Linked DNA regions of Notamacropus eugenii. The protein of the gene in region 1 purifies or fractionates together with the protein of each later gene. This does not show direct contact. Links are inferred from orthologs where the notes say so. Each region holds a gene or a part of one and is shown in the gene's direction. Other genes may lie near its edges. The genes, in order: PRDX5, PRDX2 and PRDX1.

What was found.
Region 2: the proteins of PRDX5 (region 1) and PRDX2 fractionate together in Homo sapiens (co-fractionation; 3 studies listed by BioGRID). This does not show direct contact. The link is inferred for Notamacropus eugenii from reciprocal best matches to the Homo sapiens genes PRDX5 and PRDX2.
Region 3: the proteins of PRDX5 (region 1) and PRDX1 fractionate together in Homo sapiens (co-fractionation; 3 studies listed by BioGRID). This does not show direct contact. The link is inferred for Notamacropus eugenii from reciprocal best matches to the Homo sapiens genes PRDX5 and PRDX1.

Annotation. Positions count from the first base shown.
Region 1 is NC_092873.1:17,156,511-17,163,769, forward strand, and holds the start of PRDX5 (peroxiredoxin-5, mitochondrial), read left to right. Parts: upstream 1-4,226; 5' UTR 4,227-4,305; coding exon 4,306-4,452; intron 4,453-6,266; coding exon 6,267-6,401; intron 6,402-6,722; coding exon 6,723-6,854; intron 6,855-6,937; coding exon 6,938-6,976; intron 6,977-7,259. Other genes in the region: ESRRA (steroid hormone receptor ERR1), read left to right, coding at 1-35, 616-881; TRMT112 (multifunctional methyltransferase subunit TRM112-like protein), read right to left, coding at 2,105-2,171, 2,329-2,591, 2,683-2,760. UniProt on the Homo sapiens protein: Thiol-specific peroxidase that catalyzes the reduction of hydrogen peroxide and organic hydroperoxides to water and alcohols, respectively.
Region 2 is NC_092875.1:78,123,730-78,131,637, forward strand, and holds the start of PRDX2 (peroxiredoxin-2), read left to right. Parts: upstream 1-4,814; 5' UTR 4,815-5,193; exon of another isoform or gene 5,194-5,197; coding exon of another isoform or gene 5,198-5,217; exon of another isoform or gene 5,218-5,228; intron 5,229-5,893; 5' UTR 5,894-5,895; coding exon 5,896-5,998; intron 5,999-6,153; coding exon 6,154-6,307; intron 6,308-7,000; coding exon 7,001-7,123; intron 7,124-7,612; coding exon 7,613-7,743; intron 7,744-7,908. Other genes in the region: RNASEH2A (ribonuclease H2 subunit A), read right to left, coding at 1,252-1,378, 1,500-1,571, 1,922-2,048; THSD8 (thrombospondin type-1 domain-containing protein 8), read right to left, coding at 4,008-4,207, 4,632-4,765, 5,198-5,217.
Region 3 is NC_092873.1:506,673,403-506,680,702, reverse strand, and holds the start of PRDX1 (peroxiredoxin-1), read left to right. Parts: upstream 1-4,284; 5' UTR 4,285-4,550; intron 4,551-6,165; 5' UTR 6,166-6,206; coding exon 6,207-6,312; intron 6,313-7,300. UniProt on the Homo sapiens protein: Thiol-specific peroxidase that catalyzes the reduction of hydrogen peroxide and organic hydroperoxides to water and alcohols, respectively.

The DNA of each region.
Region 1 (7,259 bases):
CGTGCTGCTCAAGGCCTTGGCTCTGGCCAACTCTGGTGAGACATGGGCTGGGGACGAGGGAAGGGGGGTGGGAGCAGCTGGGGTGAGCTGGAGGTCGAGGAGTGCCATAGCCCTCTGCTCCAGAGGTGGATGTACCCCATGGTCCTCCCAGCAACCCTTGAGTGTAGGTGACAGAGAGGTGAGCTCCAAGGGGCTCCCACAGGGGGAGGGGAGCTGAGCCTCCTGGGCTGACCTGGGGCTGCCCACAAAGTGCTCTCCCTGGTTTTGCTCACTGAGGTCAGAGCTGGGAGGGACCTTAGGCATCATTTTAGCCAGCCCCAATCTTACACATAAGGCAACTGAGGCACTGAAAAGAGAATTGAGTTTGCCTGAACCACAGACTAAGGGGAGCAGGCAGGATTTGAATCTCTGTCTCCACTGTGTTACCCCATGCCCTGGAGAACCCAGATAGGTCTAGTCCTAGCTGACTTCTGTTTTGGACCCACATTATCTCCTTGGATTCTCTGCGTCTCAGGTTCCCCCTAGAAGCAAAGCAGAGTGGAACCAGGTGGGCTCCTTGGAGGGCAGGGGTAGGGGCAGGTTAGCACCCACTGAACTGAGCTCTTCCCTCCCCAGACTCAGTGCACATAGAAGATGCTGAGGCTGTGGAACAGCTACGGGAAGCCTTGCATGAAGCCTTGTTGGAGTACGAAGCTGGGCGTGCTGGTGGGGGCCCTGGTGGGGGAGCTGAGCGCCGCAGGGCTGGGAGGCTGCTGCTCACTCTCCCCCTCCTTCGCCAGACGGCGGGCAAAGTGCTGGCCCATTTCTATGGGGTGAAGCTGGAGGGGAAGGTCCCCATGCACAAGCTTTTCCTGGAGATGCTGGAGGCTATGATGGACTGATGGGGGGAAGGCTATTGGTCTTGTGGACATGCTCGGGTTGGGGGGGGTGGTGCTGGCAGGACCGGCAGGGGTGGGGGGGAAGGGTTGAACCCCAGAAGCCCAGGGGAGGGCATGGGCAGTGCCCACAGCCTGCTGGCAGTGCCAGGGCAATGCCAACAGCCCATGGGAACCAGGCCCATGCCCACCCTACTCCCTTCCATAGGCACCTAGAGGAGTGAGGCTAGGCAGTGCTGCTCCAACCACTAGGGGGAAGCACTGCCCCTCACAAGCCATAATCTACCCCCAGGGTTGGGGGGGCCTTGTGGAAGCCATAAAGGGGGGCTGCTGGGGAAACTGGGGTATCAGGGGAGAGGTAAGAGATCTCAGGGAGGGAAGAGTTGAGGGGCCCCAGCTTTCCCTTCGGTTAATGCTTTTTTTGCTGCTGCTTGGCCCATCCCCAGGGGCCTGGCTCCCCCTCTAGCAGAGCCGGGGCTGGAGAGCAAGGACCCCCGAACCCTTCCCTCCTTGCCATTTATACTGGGCATTATTACTGCCCCCAAACTCCAATCCTTCTCCCCTTTAAAGCAATAAATCAGAGCTGGTTCCTCTCTCCCTCCCCAACCTGCCCCTGGAGCTGGGCCAAGGGATGATCCCGGACCCCTGGGGAGGGGAGGGGGGCCCCCGCAGCATCTACTCTATCCCCTGCATAGCAATAACACTATATTTATTTTTAGGTTTGGACTGAAGGGAGGAGCAGGGGCCACTGGGGTAGGGCCTGGGCTGCCTCCTCCCAGGGCTGCGTGGGGGAACAGAGCTGTACAGAGACTCTATTTTAATGTATATTTGCTGCAAAGAAAAAAAAAACGCGTTCAGTTTTGAACCTTTAATGAGGAAAAAAAAATATAACAGCGATCATACCATCCCCAGGGCTCTGTGTGGTGTGGGGGGCAGAGGTGGAGGGGAAAATGACCGCAGCTCAGCCTGGATGAACAGGCCTAAAAAGGGACTGGGGAGGAGGAGAGCTCTGAGGCCTAGGACGTGGCCTCCTCGTCACTCAGCAGCATGTTGGGGATCCCTCGGCTGATGGGGAACAGGCGTCCGGACTGCGGGCACTGCAGGGTGCCCTCCACCACCTCCACCTGCGGGATGAGCACAACATGAGCAGGGCCCGGCCCGCCCGCCCAGGGTTGGAGGGGCAGCGCGCAGGCCGAGCCTCACCTCCAACAAGACGTGGTGCGCCTTCCTCAGGAAGTCCTCGTCCTTCTCGTAGCCTTCGGCCAGCTGCCGGGGCAGCTCGGACAGGTGCCCCAGCTGGAGGGGGCACAGGTCGTTCGGGTTACGGGCCAGGGTCCCTTCCGCCCTGGACCCCGGGACCGGGAACCCTTGTGGGGCCCTGGGGATCCCCGCACCGCGGACACCGCCTGCCCAGTCCCCGAGTGCCCTGGGACCCGGGTCTCGCGGCCGTTACCTTTCTCTACCCAGCAGGCCCCGGGAGGTAAGCCGGCACAAACCGGTACAGGCCCGGGCCTCCCGCCGCTGCCTGACAAACCCGGGGCGCAGCGGGGCGGGGTCCCCTGTTACTGAGGAGGAAACTGGGGGTGGGGGGAGGGGGCGTGCGAGGGCGCTCACGCTCTCGGCCGCGTCCACCAGCGCCGTCCACTCCATCTTGGGGATCATGCGCGTCACGAAGTCCGGGTTGAAGTCTACAGGGCTCACGCGGACCTCGGTGGCCTGGGGGGACACGCCAGGGTTGTCACGCGGGCCGCGGGCCGGGTGGGGCCCGTCACCCCGCACCCCCCCCGGCCCACTCCGCCTCGGGTACCTGGATGCGTAGCGGGAAGCCCTGGGGCCCCACCCCACGCACGTGGGAGCTCAGCAAGTTGTGGGTCAACAGCTTCATCCCAACCTGCGCGCGCACCCGCACCGGAACCGGAATCAGGTCGGCGCCCTGCCTACGTCACTTCCGTCTCCTCTTGCTTTCTCCTCCCACCCTCTCGAGAATCCCTCTCTTTCCTCCGGCCACTTCCGGAAGAGGCGGGGCAGCCCTCCCCAAACAGGATGTTGCGGGAACTGCTGCTGCCTCCCGGCTTTTATTTCCGGCCCCCAGATGCAAATAACGAGTTAGAGCCAGATGCGCATGCGCAGATGCATCCGCGCTGCAGCCCGGGGCTAAGCTTCGCGGTACTGATCGCGAGCGCGCCAGTGCGCGCATGCGTCCTCATGCACCTTGCACCGCGTCCGAGATCATGCGGAGGTATCTCTGCGCAAACACGTGTTTGCCGCTAGGTGGCGGAGTGGAGAGTGTGCGGGGGAACCCGGCAGAGAATTGTCGAGTTCGAATCCTTTCTGACACCGGCCAGTTACTCAATGTCTCCCAGCCTCAGTTTCCTCATCCCCGGCTCCCAGGGTGGTCGTGAGGACCGAATGGGAGCGTTTACACTGCTTGCGTGCTTTGCGGTGTCCTTCGTTCTCGGAGGACCGAGACGTCAGGGAGTGACGCTAGGACATGCACGTGAACTGGCTTTAAGGGAGGCAGGGCTGTGCAGCCACCAGCCTGGCTTTCTCAGCCAGATTGGAGATGACCCAGGAGGCAGTGGGGGGCTAAGGTCTCAGCAAATAGGGCCTTATTTGATCCTCACAACCATTTCAGGAGGAAGGTGCTAATTTATTAGAGAGGTCGCTAGTGGCGGAGTGCAGTGCCAGGCGCGTAGTCAAGAACAGCGAGTTCTAATCCAGCCTCGTGTGACCCTGAGCAAGACACCTAACCCCGTTTGCCTCCGTTTCCCCCTTTGTAAAATGAGCCGGAGAAGGAACTGGCAAAGCACTCCAGCATCTCTGCCAAGAAAACCCCAACTGGGGTCACGGAGAGTCGGGCAGGAAGGAGAGAGGGGCCGAGGGAGCCTGGGGGACGGGAGCCGAGGAGGGACGGCCTCAGGTTGGGGCTCCCGGCGGAGAGGGGGCGCCACGGGGAGGGCGAGCAGGCATGGGGAGGATGGCAACAGTGACACCGAAGCGCTTGGGGCTCGTTCACGGCCCGTACCTGGGCTCAGCCAGGCTCAGCCTCCTCCCACGCCACAAGTCGGTCACACGCTAAGCCGCTACGACACTCCGCCGCCTGGGCAATCTCGGGAGAAAGAACTGCGCAGCCGGGCCAATGAGCGGCGAGCCCCTCAGAGGCTCGGCCCCGCCCCCTTCGGCGCTTCGCCAATAAGAAGGGCGATTCCCGCCCTCCCCCACTCTGCCCCAACCGGCGGCTCCGTACAAATTTACAGGTTGTCTCGTGGAGTTGCCCGCCCCTTCCCAACCCCTCCACTCCCGGTCGCTGAGTGGCTCGCAATCGTTCGACCACGCCCCTTCACGCAAATGAGGAGCCTCTGCAGGGGCGGGGCTGCTGCCAGGGGCGGAGCTTCATCCGGGGGCGGGCCGTACTCAGAGCCGGGCGGGGATGGGGCTGGCCGGGCTGCTCTACCTCGGGCGCCGCGCTGGGCACGTTCTTAAAGGGGCGTCGAGAACTGCCACCGCCGCCCAGACCTTCCTTGTCGCGTCGGTTCGCACCCTACGCAGCGCCTCTGCAACCATGGCCCCGATCAAGGTGAGCCTCGGCGTTGACCTTGACCTTGGCTGTCCCGCCCCAACCCCCCGGGACCGACCCCTCTGCCCCCGAGAACTGACCGCCCCCCCCAATCATCCCCATGTTAGGGACCCGCTTCATGGACCGACACCCCCAGTGACCCTTCCTGTTAGTGACCCACTATACTGTTTGATCCCCCCATCGGTCCCCCCATATTCTAGACACCCCCATGCGAACGACGCCCCCCCCATCATGTGGACTCATCTCTCCATAACCCAGGGACCTCTTTTATGGAATGATTCCCTTCTGCCCATCCTCCTTCCTCAGCCCTATGCAGCCCCCTCTTTGTGGACAGACCATGGAGGGGTCCCCTCCCTGACCTGAGCCTCTCCCCATTATTAATTGATGATGAATATAGGCAGTTCCTCATTGCTCGGGCCTGGGCATCTCCCCCATGGAATGGTTCCATAGGATCATAGACTGGGGGTCGTCTCCCTTTTGTGAGTGCCTGGCCCATAGCTGGGGCTGCTTAGGGAGTGAGTACTTCTTGATTGACTGACTGGAGCTAAGCTTCTCATTTTATAGATGAGGAAACTGAGGTCCAGGGCAGTAGGGATTTGCCAGGGATGGTATAGGGAGTGCACATCCGAACTGGGTTTTAACATAGATTTTTTGCACAGATTTGCTTAAGGAGCTGAGCCTCTCAAAAAGGAGGAATTTTGCCTGGATTGACCACCCATTTAGCCCCACCCTCATCCAGTGTAGCCTGGGGATCCCCTATACCGAGTGATTCTTCCTGTGGCCTGATCCTCTCCTGATGAACTGACCACCTCCCACCCCCATTATGGATTGATGTCCCATCTGGTCTAGCCCAAACCCCATGTAGACTGACTCCTCATATGGAATCCCTTATCGACCCCAGGGTCTCTTCTTCCTCCTCCAGCTGCTGAAGTTCAGACAGATTCATTCAGCCCCAAGCCCCTCAGATCTGTGATTTGGGTGGTAGAGACTAGGACCCCCCCCTTCTCATCAGGTGTCTGAATCCCTACAGTGCCCGGAGCCACTACTCTCAGTTACTTAGAGAATTAACGGATTCCTTTTCCCCAGTTTGTGCCTCTGGACTGAAATGCTCGCTCCCACCCCTGAGGTTTGGATCTATTTCACTGGTGTGTGTGTGTGTGTGTGTGTGTGTGTGTGTGTGTGTGTGTGTGTGTGAGAGAGAGAGAGAGAGAGAGAGAGAGAGAGAGAGAGAGAGAGAGAGAGAGAGAGAGAGAGTTTTAGACACAGAGTTGAGTTGGAGAGTTGGAGATATGGCCCCATCATCTTGGAGCCCATTCCCACCCTACCCCCACCCCCTTGCCAAAGCCAGGAATCCTGGTGCCTGTGTCTTATTCCAAGCCCCATATTCTGCAGGGGACTCCACAGGGCAAATCCCAGACTCTGGTCAGACTTTGCCCTCTTTCTTCCAGACTGTAGTCTTTCTGCCCTGCCCCTCCCCATCCCACTCCTTTCCCAGAACACAGGCTTTGGTCTTGCCCCACAGAAATTGTTCTTCTGGGTGATGCAACACCTGCATGGCCACAGAAAAAACTTCCGTCACCAATCGTCCTCCATATGCCCAAGGGAGGGATCATAACTTTCAGGAAATTTAGAGCCTGCTTGGGTGGGGATGGGCTGTGGGGTGATCCAGCTGTCCTTGGGAAGGGACCAGGAAACTGACCTGGGAATTTCCCTTTCCACTGGCAGGATGGAGCCCCAGTCACAGAGACTGGGAACCCGGTCCTGACTTCCCATCAGGGTCTGGCTTCTTTCTAGCTCTGAGCCTTCTCCCCTAGGTGGGTGATGCCCTTCCATCTGTGGAGGTATTTGAGGGAGATCCAGGCAAGAAGGTGAACCTGGCAGAGCTGTTCAAAGGCAAGAAGGGAGTACTCTTTGGGGTGCCCGGAGCTTTCACACCAGGCTGTTCCAAGGTAGGAGAATAAAGCCCAATGCTAGAACCTAGTTGTCTCAAAGTGAGGTGAGCTGCCTTGGGGTATTGAGGTCCCTGTTGCCAGAGGATGGATGACTCCTTATTTGGGAAATTGAAGAGGGAGCGGCTGGTAATGTATGGGCTAGGTAAGATGACCTCTGAAGCCCCTTCTCACTCTCTTGTGAGTGAAAATGGCACCTTTCTGAGGTCCTGGTAGATTCAAGGGGAATGAGGGGGAGCAGCCTAGAATAGCTGGGGGTTTGGGAGAAGGAAGGGTGAGAAAGGATGTGGGGCTCCTAACCCCTGCGCATTCCTTCCCCAGACTCACCTGCCTGGCTTTGTGGAGCAGGCTGATGCCCTGAAGTCCAGAGGGGCTGAGGTGGTAGCCTGCCTCAGTGTCAATGACGTCTTCGTGGTCAGTGAGTGGGGCCTGTCACAAAAAGCCTCGGGCAAGGTGAGGCCCTGGGGGAGGGGGCAGGGGCTGAATGAGAGGAGGGGCCCAGGGTGCTGACCCCTTCCCCATCCTTCTGTCTCCAGGTTCGGCTCCTGGCTGACCCCACCGGGGCCTTTGGGAAGGTAAATGTTTGCTGTCACTGTTGGGGACCAGCACAACTGAAAACTGGGGCCTGGCTCGGTGCTGGGAGAGGCAGGCTTAGGCAGAGGGAGTCAGATGATTTGGGTCCTCATCCCAGTTCAGTTACCTCCTGGCTGTATGACCTTGAACCCGTCCCTTCTCCTCTCTCCTCTTGGTGCTTGTGAAATGACTGGAATAGTTTCCTAAGAAATCAGGGCTTCAGCTGCCAAGTGGCAAGGAGGTTTGATTTTGGTGATGGAAAGGGGCCAGTCTTCTGGAGAGGGG
Region 2 (7,908 bases), on another chromosome or scaffold:
GAGCCTGATATGACTTTGCCTTTCTAAGGCTGAGTCTTGAAACCTCACTGGATTTATAGCTGGAAAGGACTTTAGACATCAGCCAATTATCTCACTCTTTTAATAGTGGGAGAAACTGAGGCCCAGAAAGGGGAAAGGAACTTGTTCAAAGTCACATAGCTAGTAAGTGGGGGAAGATGGGAAGCAATATTGTGGAGTGAAGAGAGTACTGAAATTGAAAAGCAAGAAGATCTGGGTTTTTCAATCCTGGCTCTGACATTTACAAGCAAGAAGTTAAGAGTTCCCTGAGTGCTATTTCACTTATTTGTAAGATGAGGAGGCCTCTGAGGTCTCTTCCAGCTCTAAATCTATGACCCTATGATTCAAACTCAGGTCTTTTGGAGACCTTACTATATTTCGAAGGCTATAGAGGAAGAAGGACTAAATGAGATGAGAGTGAGCCACTTTGGAGTAGACAGAGGACTTTTCTCAGTCAGGAAAAACTGGGTACAAATGTCATCTCAGAAACTTCATAGCTAACCTACATATATATACATATATTATACATATATACAATATCAACATATAACATATCTCTATCAAATTGCTTGCCTTCTCAAGGATTAGGGAGGGAGAGAATTTGGAACTCAAAATTTAAAAAAATGTTAAAAAAAATTTACATGTAATTGAGAAATATTTAACGAAATAAAACTTCACACCTATGTGACCATGCACACATGGGCATTTAACCTCTCTGTGCTTTGTCTGGAGGCAGCTAGGTGGCAGAGTAGATAGAGTGCCAGTCCTGGAGTCAAGAGGACTTGAGTTCAAATCCCAGCTCTGAAACTAGTTGCATGACCCTAGGCAAGTCACTTAACTTCCATTGCCTTCACACAGAAAAAATGCTTTTTCATCTGTAAAATGAAGGAAGTTGATGGCCTCTATGATCCCTTTCAGCTCTGAACCAATAATCCTTAATTGTGTAGTCAATCTAAGGAAGCACCTTCTAACAATTAGAGCTATACAAAAGGGAAATGGGTTTCCTCAGCCAGGGTTGAGTAAGTTTTACCCTACTTGAAGCCGGCAAGCAAAGGATGGGTGACCACTCCATGGAGGGGGATGTTGGGTGAGGTATGTATTGGGCTAGAAGATGATCCCCGAGATCCCTTTCCAGCTCTGAGATCCTGTGCCCTGAAATCTAGTGTTCTTGCCCCTACTCACATTGAGTGGCACAGGAGTCAATTTGCTGCCCACCCACAAACAGCCTCTCACCGCCTCTGCATGCTGGTGGAGATGAGGTTCGGGGACAGAATGTCCAAGGCCCAGCCCACAAAGGTCCGGGCCTGATCTAGTTTCCCAAAGAGTCTCTCTCTCTCCGCCTCCGACAGGGTCTTTGAGTCTGGCAGTGTGGAAAAGGGAGAAGTGCAAGGAGGAGAGGCTTAGTCACAGGGGCACAATCCTTCCCCACCTTTCACCCCCTCACCCCACAGCCCCTGGAAAGCCATCCGTGCAGCACTCACCTGCCACCTTCAGAGCCTCCAGGGCGCCCACTTTGGACAAGGGGCAAAAGCAGATGCCGTAGACCATAGGGCCTGGCAAAAGGGGACAGGTAGAGTCAGATGCCTCCAGACCCCGGATCTTGACTCCCACAGCCCAGAACCTACTCTCCAACCACGGCCCAACCCCGAAGCAATCCTTTGGTCCAACTGCTCAACAACCAGGGCCCACCGCCAGGCAATTTGCCACCCCTAAGAAGTGCCCACCTTGGGGCAACCCCCAACCCCTCAGCAAACCGCCCCCGGCTCGGAGCCCACCCCTCCTACAACCGATACACCCCACAGCCCTGGTGCAACAATACCCCCTAGCCCGAAGGCCACCCTCACCCCCGGGCAACCCCACCCCCACTCTCCTCCTCCCCCAGCACGCTGGCACCCACTCCCACCCAGAACAGGCCCCCGGCCGGCCTCATCAATGCCCAGGCAGCAGGCCTCGGTGCGGCACAGCTCCGGCACCGGCGAGCTCAGACGGCAGCTGCCTGTGTTGTCCCGCTCAAACTCCCCCAGATCCATGCTCGCAGCAAGCCAAGCGGTCTTGGACACTGGCTGGGAGATCCCGCAAATGCGCGGATCCAGGCGGGCTTCCCGCCCCCGGAAACCTCCAAGCCAATCCTGAACTTGCTGTTCGTCCTCGTAGCTTTCTGGGACTTGTAGTTCATCAGCAAGAGCGCCACCTAGCCGTGCGTCCTAGAATTTCAGGAACTGGGAGGGAGCTCAAAACCCATCCGATCCAATCTCTCCTCTTAAGCATGATGCTCCCTCCCTTTGATCATCATCCACCAGTTATCTATCTGCAATGCTTTTTGACTGACTACTGACTAACTGAAGATCTCTGTTTCCAAGAAGTCATTTGCCTGTTTAACACACACCAAGACACAGCCCTGTTTAAAGAGTTCCAGAGGCTCTCTATTGTTTCAGTTACAAAATACAAACTCCTTTGCAATTTAAAGCCCTTCACAACCTGACATCTACCTTTCCAAGCTTTTTATACTTTGTGGACAGCCATCCAAACTGGCTTACTTTCTTCTGTCCCTCACACATGACCTATCCTATCTCCCCTGAGTTTACACAGCCCTGAAATGCGGTCCTTCCTCACCTTTACTTCTTAGAATCTTTAGCTTCACAAGTCAGCCCAAACACCTTCTCCTACATGAGATCCTGCCAGATTCCCTAACTCTGTTAGTGCTTTCTACCCTCTCTCCAACGAATTAATCTTGCATTAACTTTTTATATACATACGTATATATACACATATGCTATATGTGTATTACATACATACATATGTGTTAAACACACTCCCCCCCATAGACTATAAGATTCTTGAGGACAGGGACTTCCATTTTTGTTTGTATTTTCTGCTTCTCCCTAATAAATGTTTACTGATTGACTAATCATTCATTGGATTGATCTAGTCCAAGCTTCTCATTTTACAGGAGGGGGAAATTGAGAACCAGAAAAGGGAAAGAACTTGCCCAGTGTCACAAAGCTATTAAATATGGCTAGGATTCTAAACCAGTTCTTTTGGCTCATTCTGGGAGGCAGCTAGGTGTCCAAATGGAGTGGATAAAGTGCATGGATAGAGTCAGGAACTCATCTTTGTGAGTTCAAATCTGGCCTCAGACACTTTCTAGCTGTGTGATCCTGGGCAAGTCACTTAACTCTGTTTGCTTCAATTTCCTCATCTGTAAAATGAGCAAGAGAAGGAAATGGAAAAGCACTCCAGTATCTTTGCCAAAAAAACCCCAAATGGAGTCACCAAGAGTTGGACCCAATTGAAATGACTCAGTAACAATAGACTAGTATTCTTTTCATCGGATCAAACATTTCTGTCCAGGCCTCCAGAAAAATAGCAGCAGTAAGAACTACTATTTGAAGGCCTTACTAGGAAATAAGGAAAAATCTAAGGTAGCACCACTAGGATGAGGCCATCTCAGCAAACATGATCTTTTCCACTTCTGCTGTCTCCGAGCACTAAGGGCCTCTCTTAGTAGAGTAGGCCCTGCCCCCATAGAACTAGGATCTGCCTCCTGAGGCCCAAGCTGGTAGGCTTCCCTCCAGTTGATTCTTCCTTGAGCTGTGGCATGTAGTAGGTGTGGCTATGCATCTTCCTGGACCTGCTGGAGTGGCTTTACCGCAAGGTTTAAAATTATCTTTAATAACAACAGCAATAATAGAGATGATTACATTCTGATCTTCAAAGTATTCAGGGTAGGGTAGGCCTCAGGGGAAAACCTGCACCCCACATGCTGCAGATAGACAAGGGTGATATCATCCCAGGAATCCCCAGCTCTAGGGCCCCTCCCTCTCAGGATACCCCTTTCCCAAGTTCAGATGCTTCTCTCTTCCTTACCCCAAACCCAGCTGGGATGGTAATGTACACACACAGGGCCTCAAGTCTCCTTGAGTTTTCTATCTTCCTTTCTCCTTCTCTGGGTTCTGGAGTTTGCTTTTGGCCATGCTCACTCTGTGTCCTCAAACCCTCCGGTTGCACTGGCCTGGTGAGCTGCTAGGACAGTTGTTATAACTGCAGGGCTGGTGCTGCAGGAGGCTCTCCCTGTCCAGAAATACAGGTGCTGCAGATGCGCCCATCACATCCTGCCTCCGCTCTTGAATTCCCAGGAGACACTGGCAGGTCCAGGGGCCCCATGGACCCAGTGGCAATTCTCCTGGCTCTGGGGGAAGAAAACATCAGTCAGCCAGGGAGCCTGAACCTTGACAGGGTTTCTTCTACCATCTGAAATTTCCAGGCTTGACTGGGATACTTCCCAATATGCCAAGCGTCTTAACAATATCTGTTGAATTGAGTAATAGGACCCGGGGAGAAATCCTGGCAGATTTCATTGTGGGGGGTGATATGTGTATACTTGTGCGTGTGCGTGGGATGGGGGGTTGTAAATCTTTGCTAAGGAGAGGGGTACGATTTCAGGGCCAGTGCACTGTATATGAGTGCTTCTGAGTTTCTTCTGAGTAAACCTGCACGCTCCCCGTGCCCCGCCCCACCAATGGAAGACTCCTTGAGTTACTGCTCATTGATGTGTAACATCTGGGGAGATCAAGTCTGGAGGCTCTGGGGGTTGAAGGCATCTCACTCTTTACCCAGTTCTGTCTCCCAAGAATCCCCAGAGCCTTGTTCTCCGAAATAGTGATGGTCTGGGCCTGGGCAGGTTCGGGGCCGAGCAGGAGCAATCTCAGGGGCAGTCTGGTCATCCACGGCCCCCTCCTTCTCTATTCAGTAGCCCCCTGAACCGCTGTTAGTCGCTGGTCCAAGGTTCTCCCTGCGCTCCGTTATCCGAGCTGCTCATCAGGAGGGACAGGCGAGAGGAGTGGACAAGGGGGAGGGAAGAGGTCAGCGGCCCCCGCCCCTCAGCTTCGGTATATTCAGGTTTCTCGCCCCCCACCCCACACCCCCCACGACGCATCAGTAGGCCCGCCCAGGCGTGTCGCGTCCTCCCCCAGGCTCGTTCCCATACGTCCCTCCCAACTCCTCCTCGTCTTCTACCCCCCCTCCCCCCCACGGTCTGGCTTTAGGTGGTACAGGCCGCGGATAAAAGGCGCGGGCGGCGGCCTCTTGGATTCGGCTTTTGGTTTCCAGACTGCTACTGTTGCGGTCTAGTAACACGCGCTATCTTTGTAGGCTCGGAGCCCGCCCTTCTTGCAGGTACAGTACGGTGCAGTGCGGCATGGTGCGGTAAGGTACAATGCGATGCAGGTCCTTCTGGGCCGGGCCAGTTCTAGGCTAGGGGAGTGGGAAGCAATAGAGGCAGCCTGTGACTCCCCTTTATCCAGACAGATTGTGTTCTATGCTAATCTGCTACTGTCCTGGTCCTTCCCTCTGCATGGAGCAAGAAACGTTCCTCCCCGCCCCCCCCATCCCTGCCTTTGTTCTTTGTGGGCTATTAGGAACTGAGAGCCCAGGTGAATTCTCCTCCACCTGTCCCCTACTCAGCAGGGAAACTGAACCTTGAGAGAAATCTAGACGTCTCTTTGTTCCTGCTCTTGAGGCCTAACTCAGCCTGACTAAGGGTCCTGGGAGGAGGTGAAAGATCTTACAGCCTGTGCCTGGGTGCCCAGACCTGTTTCCCTGGTGGGGTAGGAGCAGTGCAGAGGAGGCAGGAGGGCTGGGTCTGAATTGCCCCCTTTCCCTATGGGACTAGCTTAGTCTGGCCCGTGTGCCCAAGTCTCTTGTGTTCAGCCCATGGAGGGAGGGATAGGGGCTGCATGTGACCATCTTTGTCTGACCCACGTGCCCAGTCTGGCCTCGGGAAGTGGGGGAAGGGAGGTGGTGCTGGGTTGCACAGCTCGGGGAAATGCGAATCAGGTGCCCTGGTTGACCCTAAGGGGAAAATCACTTTTTCCAGTCATGTCCTCTGGAAATGCTCACATTGGAAAACCGGCCCCTGACTTCCATACCACTGCTGTGGTCGATGGGGCTTTCAAGGAGGTGAAGCTGTCTGACTATAAAGGTGAGAGATAACAACCTTAGAGGTCAGAGACACTGGCCCCTTCCCCTCTGGAGGAGGGAAGTCAGGGTGTGAGGAGATGATCCTATCACCTGGAGAGTGGTAGGGGAAGGGGCCCCAGCACCTGCTTCTCACTCCTTTTATTCTTATCGCTCCAGGGAAGTATCTGGTCATATTTTTCTATCCACTGGACTTCACTTTTGTGTGCCCTACCGAGATCATCGCCTTCAGTGATCGGGTCTCTGATTTCCGTCAGCTGGGCTGCGAAGTCCTTGGTGTGTCTGTGGATTCCCAATTCACTCACCTGGCCTGGTATGATTCTGGCTAGGAGAAGGAAGATGGAGAAGGAACTCTGCCCTATCTGACTTTGTGCTTCTACCACCTTCTCCCACTGGAAGTGTCACTGGCTGGCACCTCCTGTCTTTTGCTAGGGAATATCCTGTGGCCCTGTAACTACACTTATTGGAACAAAAGGGTTTCCAAAGCTGAGTTGCTGGGGTCCCTTTGTAGTAATTTGAATTGGAAGGGACTTTGGAAGACATTTCTTTCAGCTCCCATCATGTGAAAAAGAAAAAAAAACAGATTTAGAGAAGTTAAGAGCAATGGCTTTTGATTCACCAAGTACCAGAGCTGGCATTTGAACTCAGGGCTTCATACCTTATGTCCACTCGTCGATTGTTTCAACCATACTAGGCAGTACTTTCTGTTCCATCTTCCTCAGAAATAGAGAACAGCATCTTTCTCTTCCTGCCTTACTACTCCCTCCTGGGTGTGGTAGGTTTGGGCTTTGACAGCCCTGCCTGCAACCCCTTTATCACTTACTCAGGACTCTTAGGGAAGCCCTAATCTGTTGCTCAAGCCCTTGGGGAGAAGGGAGGAGGAGCCTCTGAGCTGTGAAGATAGCTCCTTTCTTTGGAGAGTAGGAAAGATAGTCCCTGATTAGGGAGAAGGGGACTCCATGGAGGTAAGTAACTTGGACACTTCTTTCTCAACCTCCCTAAAAAGGATCAACACCCCTCGAAAACAGGGTGGCCTGGGTCCTTTGAAAATCCCCCTGCTGGCAGATGTAACCAGAAACCTCGCTCGAGATTATGGGGTACTGAAGGAGGATGAAGGCATTGCCTACAGGTATGGTTGGGGGACCGTCTGTAAGTATGTCTTGCTCTGTCCCTGATCATCAACAATTTAGGAGTCACCATTCTGACTGGTTCTTAGTTTTTGCCACCCCCACTTTTATAGTCATGAAAACAGACAATCTTTGAACTACGTAGAAACAGCAGGGAGTTGCAAGGTTTTAGAACTAGAAGAGAACTTGGAGGCTATATTATCAAATCTTGTTTTGCAGGAACAAAAGCTGAGGCTGAGAGAGTTGAAAGGACTTAGATAAAGTCATACAAGTACTAAGTCTGAATTCAGACTTGGGGAGGGAAGGTGATCGAGGACATAGAATATTAGGAGCCAGACACTTCCCCCAAAAGAAAGTAAGTCTCAGCCCTTACAGATGTGGCAGAAGAATGGGTTTGGAATTAAAATCTAGTCTTCTTTCTACTGAACATGGTGTTGCCCAGTCCTGGATGACTTCCAGGGTCTTATACTAGCTCTTCTCCATTTACTCAGGGGCCTCTTTATCATTGATGCTAAAGGCCTTGTCAGGCAAATCACTGTCAATGACCTGCCTGTGGGTCGATCAGTGGATGAGGCTTTGCGACTAGTGCAAGCATTTCAGTACACAGACGAGCACGGAGAAGGTGAGTCTTGTGTATTCCCTATCCTACCCCACTCTTCCTTGGGTGTGTTTTCCACTTCCAAGGTGGCTACCCTATGGATTGAGGCTTGAGCTGGTCTCCTGGCTTTGGACAAAAGGCTGGGAGACCTGTCTCCTCCCTCTTACCACTTGTTTCCTTTTCTTCTCT
Region 3 (7,300 bases), about 490 Mb from region 1:
GAACCCCAGATTCCAAGAGTCTTATCCCCAACACCCCAACACAAAGACATAAAGACAAAGGTAGAGGAGCAACCTAAGCAGGCAGAGGGTGGAACCAGCTCATACTAAAGTGCAGAAAAGCTGAGAGGTCCAGTTTGTGCTTCTTAAGAAAACTAGAGAAGATTCTAAGCCAATCCAGAGAGTCTCCAATTAACTGCTTTCAGGTAGCATAGCCAGGCACTTCTGGGTGGAAGTTGGAAAAGATAATCCGTGGTGGGAAGATGTCTGGTTTCAAAGACATCCTTGCCTCTTTGGTCTTCACCCACTTAGGAGAATCAGAGCATTTCAGAGGCATTTCTATGCAGAATTCTCCCCTAAAACATGCCCCCTGCAGCCAGTCATCCATCATTCATTGATCCATCCATCAATCCATCATCGATCCACCAATCCATCCATCTATCCATCCATCCATCATCGATCCACCAATCCATTCATCCATCCATCCATCCATCATCGATCCACCCAAGTATGCCCTATTGTTTGGCTCACAATTTCCTTCTTCCTGCTTGCACTGGACTTCCTCCAGATTCCTCAGCTGAAATTTGACTCTTGGTTAATTCCCTGATTGTAAGCTTGAGCTCTCACCCCTGGACATCCCACTTCCCCCACCCATGACCCTACAATTCTACTTCCTCTCCCACCATGAAGCTGTTGAGTCATCTCCTTGGTTCTGAACTGTCAGGATGACTCTGAATCCTGATTATGTGAGCTAACAAAGCCTTCCCAGCTTTGAATGTTCTGAATACTTGGCAGGCATGCCTTCTGTCTTCATCTAAGTCACTGATGACCATCTTGTAGGAGACAAGGCTGAAGAAAAAGCCAGGTGGCTCACCACTAGAGACTGCCCCTCCTGGTTCATACAGCCCCATAAATCAACACCTTTTGGTCCTGTAGGAAAGCAGAAAAGTGGTAGCTGTTGTCCATTCCCAAAGAGGGCCTAAATGACATCATTACATTAGAGTTAAGTTATAGTGTGTCCTACTGTGGCCGATCAGATCAATATGAGCTCGGAATGCTCTACCACAGCTAGGGCACAAACAGTCCATGTGAACATATGGGGTGAATTCTCTACATCTGTGCATCTCAAATTTCTTTTGAGCTACTTCAATTCTACTTCGCTCATAGAGCACAGTGACTTCTCTGACGAGGGCATGCCATGCTGGGTGGTCCTGTGCCAGTGTCCCCTACATCACACAATCAATTCTAAAGTCCTTAAGAGAGACCTTGAAAGTGTCCTTCTATTGCTTCTTCTGACCACCATGTGAGCACTTACCCTCTGTCAATTAATTCTCTGTAAGATAGTCTTTTTGTCCACCTCTATAAAGGTAAAAGAAATAGATTGTCCTGTGACAATCACAGGGGGAACTCTGTCTTACCCATTGCCAGATTCTTTTCAGAGTCCTCCTTAATAGGCTGATGCTTCACCTGGAAGACAGTCATCTGCCTGAGACCCAGTGTGGCTTCAGAAAGGGCTGAGGAACAGTAGATATGATGTTTCCTGCTGGATAACTCCAGGAGAAATGCCAGGAGCAGAACAGAGGTCTGAACACAATGTTTGTAGATCTGACCAAGGCCTTTGATGTTGTAAGTCGTGAGGGCTTATGGAAAATTATGTTAAAATTTGGTTGCCCAGAGAAGTTCATCAGTATTGTACATCAATTTCACAATGGCATGCTGGCTTGGGCTCTGGATAATGGATGATGCTCTTGTGCTTTTCCAGTCACCAAGAAAGTGAAACAAGGCTATGTGCTTGCTCCCACACTTTTTAGCATGAATTTTTCAGTCATGTTAAACCCCTTCAATGAGGATGAACACAGAATCAGGGTGAGATACTGAACTGATGGAAAGCATCAGGGTAAACATCAACAGAGGCAGAAATGGGCATTTGTCAGATAGACAGAGAATATAGGAGGGGGTTTGGGCATCCACAGAAGCCATCTACCAGCAGCCCCTACTTCTAGACCTCTACATGTCACACAGTCTGTCTCCCACTTAAAGATCTCAGGGCACAGAGACTCACTCACTTGCTTAGAGGAGAAATTTCCAACACACCTAGAAATCCCCTCCCCTACCTTCTTTTAAAATCTCTGAAACACATTCCAGACTATTCCCTGGGACACCATGCTGGGTGGGCAAATCAGCTCCCTTTTTATTCCTTTCTCTCTGCTTTTTTTCTAGCCAGAAATGGTTCCCCAAGGGCCAGACCTCCAGAATGACAATGGTGGGAATTCTGGCTCTGGGACCTTCAGCCTTGACCTCTGTGGCTATTAAATGGCGCTGAGGCCCTAGCTACCTCCCAACAGGTTAAGGAGGAGGGAAGGTGAAAGGAGATCATAAATGTGAGGAAACTTTTGTAATCATAAAGGGCCCCCAGCAATGTCGGCAATGACTCCTAATGACGACCCTGAGCTCAGGTTGGAGGCCTTACCTGCTCTTTCTCCCTAGCTATCATTCTCTTTGGTGTCATGGAGACGCCACTGTGAAGGAGGGGGGAGAGGAGGAATGGCACCCTCAGGACAGCATCAGGCTGACTTGGGTTTAAGTCTTATTTCTCATAATCCAGCCTGTGGAAAACTCTGGCGTAAAGGAAGAAGGCTGGAGTAGTGGACTTCTGAGGCCTTCCAGCCACAAGCCTAGAGCCTTCTTCTCCAGCCAAGACCATTGAAATAGCTTTCTCACTGTTCTCCCTGCCTCTGGGAACCTCCCAGGTTCTTGATAATAACCTTGGATATTTCCCACCTTCAGTGTTTCCTCTCTGTCACCCAATCAATCAGCAAGTATTTAATGAGCTCCCTAACTATTTTCGCTCAGCACAGAGAATGAACAGCCCCGGGCGGAACAAAGGCCAAGTAGGGGAGGAAGGGCCACATCCAGGGATGTGGGGGTGGGGACTGAGCCAGGCTCCAGGTGGCACACATCCTATTCGAGCCTCCCACCACCAGGAAAGCCAGCTTCCTTCTCCTGCCACTCCCAGCCCCAGACTCATCGCCCAAGGCTTGCTTCAGCCCCTCCCCCCCTACATTTCCTCAAAGCCCAAGGCACCTAAAGACAAAGCCCACTGAGCCCTCCCCTGGTACTCATTCCCCCATTCATCCTGCTTATCATATAACACTCTACAGAAAGGAGCGCAACCCACACCTGAACAGGAAATCCTTCTACAATATCCTGCACAGGGAGTCACCCTGCCTCTGACTGGAGACCACCAGAGATGGGGAGCTCACTACCTTTCCCAAAGAGTCCCTTCCATTCCTGGCCAGCCCCTAAGGAGAGCAAGGATTTCCTAACACTGAGCCTGAACTGATTTGGCCTCTTTGACGATTCCCCCTCCCCCTCAACTGTTCGGACCAGCAAGGCTGATCTTTGTTCCATATAACAGCCCTTCCCAACATGGAGAACAGCTCTGGTGCTCCCCCTCCCCCCTGTCTCCTCTGAGATTCCCTTCTCCACCAGCAGCAGAATGGAAGGTCCCTGAGGGCAGGGCCCAGTTTCCTTTTTTGCTTTGTAACCAGGTGGCATGCCAGACCCATAGTGGGAGCTTAACCAACTTAGGACAAATTCATTCTCTCCAGTCTCTCCCCATGCCCCACACCCAGCAGGACTCTCACTGAGCTCCCTGATCCTGAAAGCTGGGCCTCTCTTAATGCTGCCCAACGTGCTGACTCAGGCTGGCCAAGCTGGTTCCCGCATGGAAGTCTAGTTTTGAGCCCAAATGTTACACTTGCTGTTTATCCTTAGTGAATTTCACCTTCCATTCAGCTCCACAGCTACGAGCTTGTATTTTCCAGTCCTAGCTCAGGGTGCGTCAGTCAGCCCTCCCAGCTGTGCATCAGCACCCTATGCGATGAGCTCTCATCCACCTGGGCCTCCACTCTGGTCAAGGGGAGAAACGTCGGGCTGCACAGAGCCTTGGGGCACTCCACGGGAGACCTCTGGCTTCTGCTTCTCTTTGTAGTTGTCGGGCAGAGCACGGGGCCCGGGATGCAGCGAGTGCGGGGGCTGTACGGCTGCTGCTATGCGGTTACATTGTTACTTATTAATTGTTACTAATTATCTTTTAAAAAGCTCAGCAGGGCATGTGTCTCATGGCCGCAGGGAGTTCCCAAGCTGCACCGACACCTCGCCAGGGGTTCAGGGGTGTTCCGAGGCAGCCGGGCCGCTGGGAGGGAGAGAGAGAGGCGATCTGTATCGGGGGAGGGATTTCCTGGTCTGAGAGGCCCAGACGTCAGGTGGTGGGGGAGAGGGCCCAGTGAGCGTGATCTGGGGTTGGGGAAGGAGGGGCGTCCTGCCCCCGAACCCCGGAAAAGTGCCGAGTCATGCTGAAGGCGTGGATGAGGAGAGGGAGGGAAGCAGGGAGGAGGCGGGGCTTCAGGCGGCCGGGCCCGCCCTCTGCCGCCCAGCCTCTCGCGAGATCAGGGGCTTATAAAGGCGGCGCTGGGCGCAGCATCCTCGCGCTCTCCAGCTCCTGCTCAGGGGTTCGGCCTTTCTTCGACCTTGTCTGCGGAGCCTAGCTGGTGAGGCCAGGGAGCGGGCACGTCCCCCACGCCACCCCCTCTCTGCCGCCGTGCTGCCCCTCCTCGGGCGGCTGGGGACGGGCGGGGAAGCTCGGGACGTCCTGGGAAAGGCGGACGACCCCCCCAAGGACGCTGATTGGCTGGTGGGGGCGTGTTGGGGAACCTTCGGGTGGGGGGCGGGACTTGAAGTTCTCGAAGCCACATCAGATTGGTGGAATAGAAGCCGGGCCCGGGCGTGGGACAAATGGGGAAACTGAGGCACGGGCTCACCTGCCCCGAAACAGCCTCTTACAGGGACCCCCACGGCCTTCTCTGTTTGGACCGTGGAGGAAACTGGGGCTCCGGGGGGGAAGCGAGGCGCCTGGGGAGGAGCGGGCGGCGGCGGCGACTCTACTTTCCCGCCCTCTCCTCGTGGTTCTCCCCGGTGTGACCGAGGAGGGGGCCCCCCCGGGGAGTGCAGCAGCCCATCGTCCCGGGGTCCCAGCATCGGGAGCCGGGGGCACCGGGGCCCTGGTGCCCCCGAGGGCCTCCATCCTCCTCTCTGGCCACGTGGGCAGCACTGTCGGCCTCCACGGTCCGATGATCGGGAGGGGGTGCGGTGGGCTGCACCCCTGCCTAGGCAGGGTCCTTTCCGGGAGGTGGCCGTGGGGGAAGGGCATTGGAGCAGGGTCCCTCGGGGCTTTTCTGTAAAGTGGGTTCGAAGGGGGTGAACCTCGTTCCGAGAGGGCGCCCCTTCCGCTCTCCGCCTTCAGGCAGCTCGCTGGTGGGTCGGGGATTGGAACGCCGACCCAGCCGTGACCACGGATAAGTCACTTAGCCTCCGTCTGCCTCAGTTTCCCCAACTGTAAGATGGGGATAACCCCCGGTTAGCGCGGATCTCCCCGGGTGTGGGTGTGAGGAGCAGATGAGGTCGGAGTTGTGAAGCGTTTAGCCGAGTGCTGGGCACATAGTGGGTGCCGCAGAAAGCCCCCGTCTCTTCCTCCCCCCTTGTGGATGCGCGCTGGGGTGAGCCCACCCCGAGAGGGCAGGGCAGGGCCGGGGGGGCTTCCGGTGCACCTGGGCTTGGAACCGGCAGCTTCTGCCTGGCTCTGCAGTGATCAGTCTCTCCGAATGGAAATCAGTTCCCCTTAACTCCTAATCTCTGCTTAGCACTGCCCAGAATTTCCAGCCTAGGCCGGAGCGCAAAACCACCCATCTTTCTTCCTTTTTTCCTGGGGACTGGCTGGTTTGGGAGAGGGCCGTAGGGTAGAGGCCCCTCCCCACGAGGAGTCCGGTCTAGCCGGCACAAAACCCTGTTGCCTAATCGGGCTGTGGAGAACTGCTCAGCCCTGGGAAGTTGGAGGGGACTGCCGGGGTTGCTTTCTAGTTTAGGATGGCAGCCAGGACTTTGCTTTCAGAAAATCCTTCATTTTAAGTGACTAGATCTCCTTGTTATATGTGACCAGGAGGGCAGAGGGCTCCAAGGGCAGTAAGATGGTCAGGTGTGGTTCTAGGCTAGTATGTCCCCTTGGTGCCCGGCGAGTCTCTCAGTGCTCCCTAAAAGTGAGCTGCCTCGGGTTGTCTTAGGAGTGGGAAACTTGGTACCTCTCCTGAAGTCACCTCTCTGGTTTTCCAGCCTCATTCCTCTTGGCCCCCAGTTACCGTCATACTGTCAACATGTCTGCGGGCAATGCCAAGATTGGGTTCCCAGCCCCCAATTTCAGAGCTACAGCTGTTATGCCAGATCGGCAGTTCAAAGACATCAGCCTTTCTGATTACAAAGGTGAGTTGAATTGCCCGAGCCTGATTAACATTTCTTGATTAACCAAGTCTCCATAACAAAGGCACCTTTGTGCACTTTCTGCTGAGCTGTTTTTATTTCCTGTCTAGGGCTGAGTGGTGATGTTGCCCCCCCCCACTGCTTATTCCAGGAGAGAATAATACTGTGGCCTATCTCCTTCCCTCCCCATCTGCGCCCAATTCTGATATCAAAGGGCCTTGGATCTCCTCAGATAAAATGGCTGATACCCAGAGGACCTTGGCCAGCCTCTCCTCTGGGGTCTCAGCTGGCTTAGGAAGGTGCTTTCCTTTTTGTGCCTTAACTGAAGGCTCTCTTCAGTGCCCCTCCCCTCAAGGGCTGATGTCTGGGGTGCAGTTGGGTCTCAGAATGGCAAAGGAAGAGGGCCTGGTCACTCAGGCCTGCTGGGTTTTCTGGGTCCCGAAAGTGTCCAGATTGCTTCGCAGCTGCAGCTGCTATTCTGAGCTAAGCCTTGCAGAAGCTGATGAACAGAGAGGCCCGGCGTGGTGGGTTCTGAGCCTTGTGGGCCACAGCTGGTTGGCAGAGGAAAGGGTAGCTGTCATGCCCTTACATACCCGTGTACACACACTACCCTGACCCCAGAGGGAGGATCCTATGAGAGTGCCAGTAGTCCAAGATGCTGCCCTCCCTTGGGCGCTGAGGAACAGGATGGCACTGACAGATTTGTTGGGATAAACAATGTTCCCATTGAGGTTGGCTTTCAGTGGGGACACCAGATGCTCTCCTCGATTCACTTGTGGCTTATAGAACAACCCTGAGCCTTGGCCTTGTTCTACCAGCATGACTCCCTTGGGGTAGAGCCAAGCTTGGTTCCCAGGGTCACTGGCTAGTTTGAAGGCAGCTTCTAAATAACCTCTAAACTCCTTGAGGAATATGAGCATGTGGGCTGCTTATGTCTTGGAGTGAAATCTGCCTCAGGGAACTGATTTTTTTTCTCTGTATCTCAGTAGGG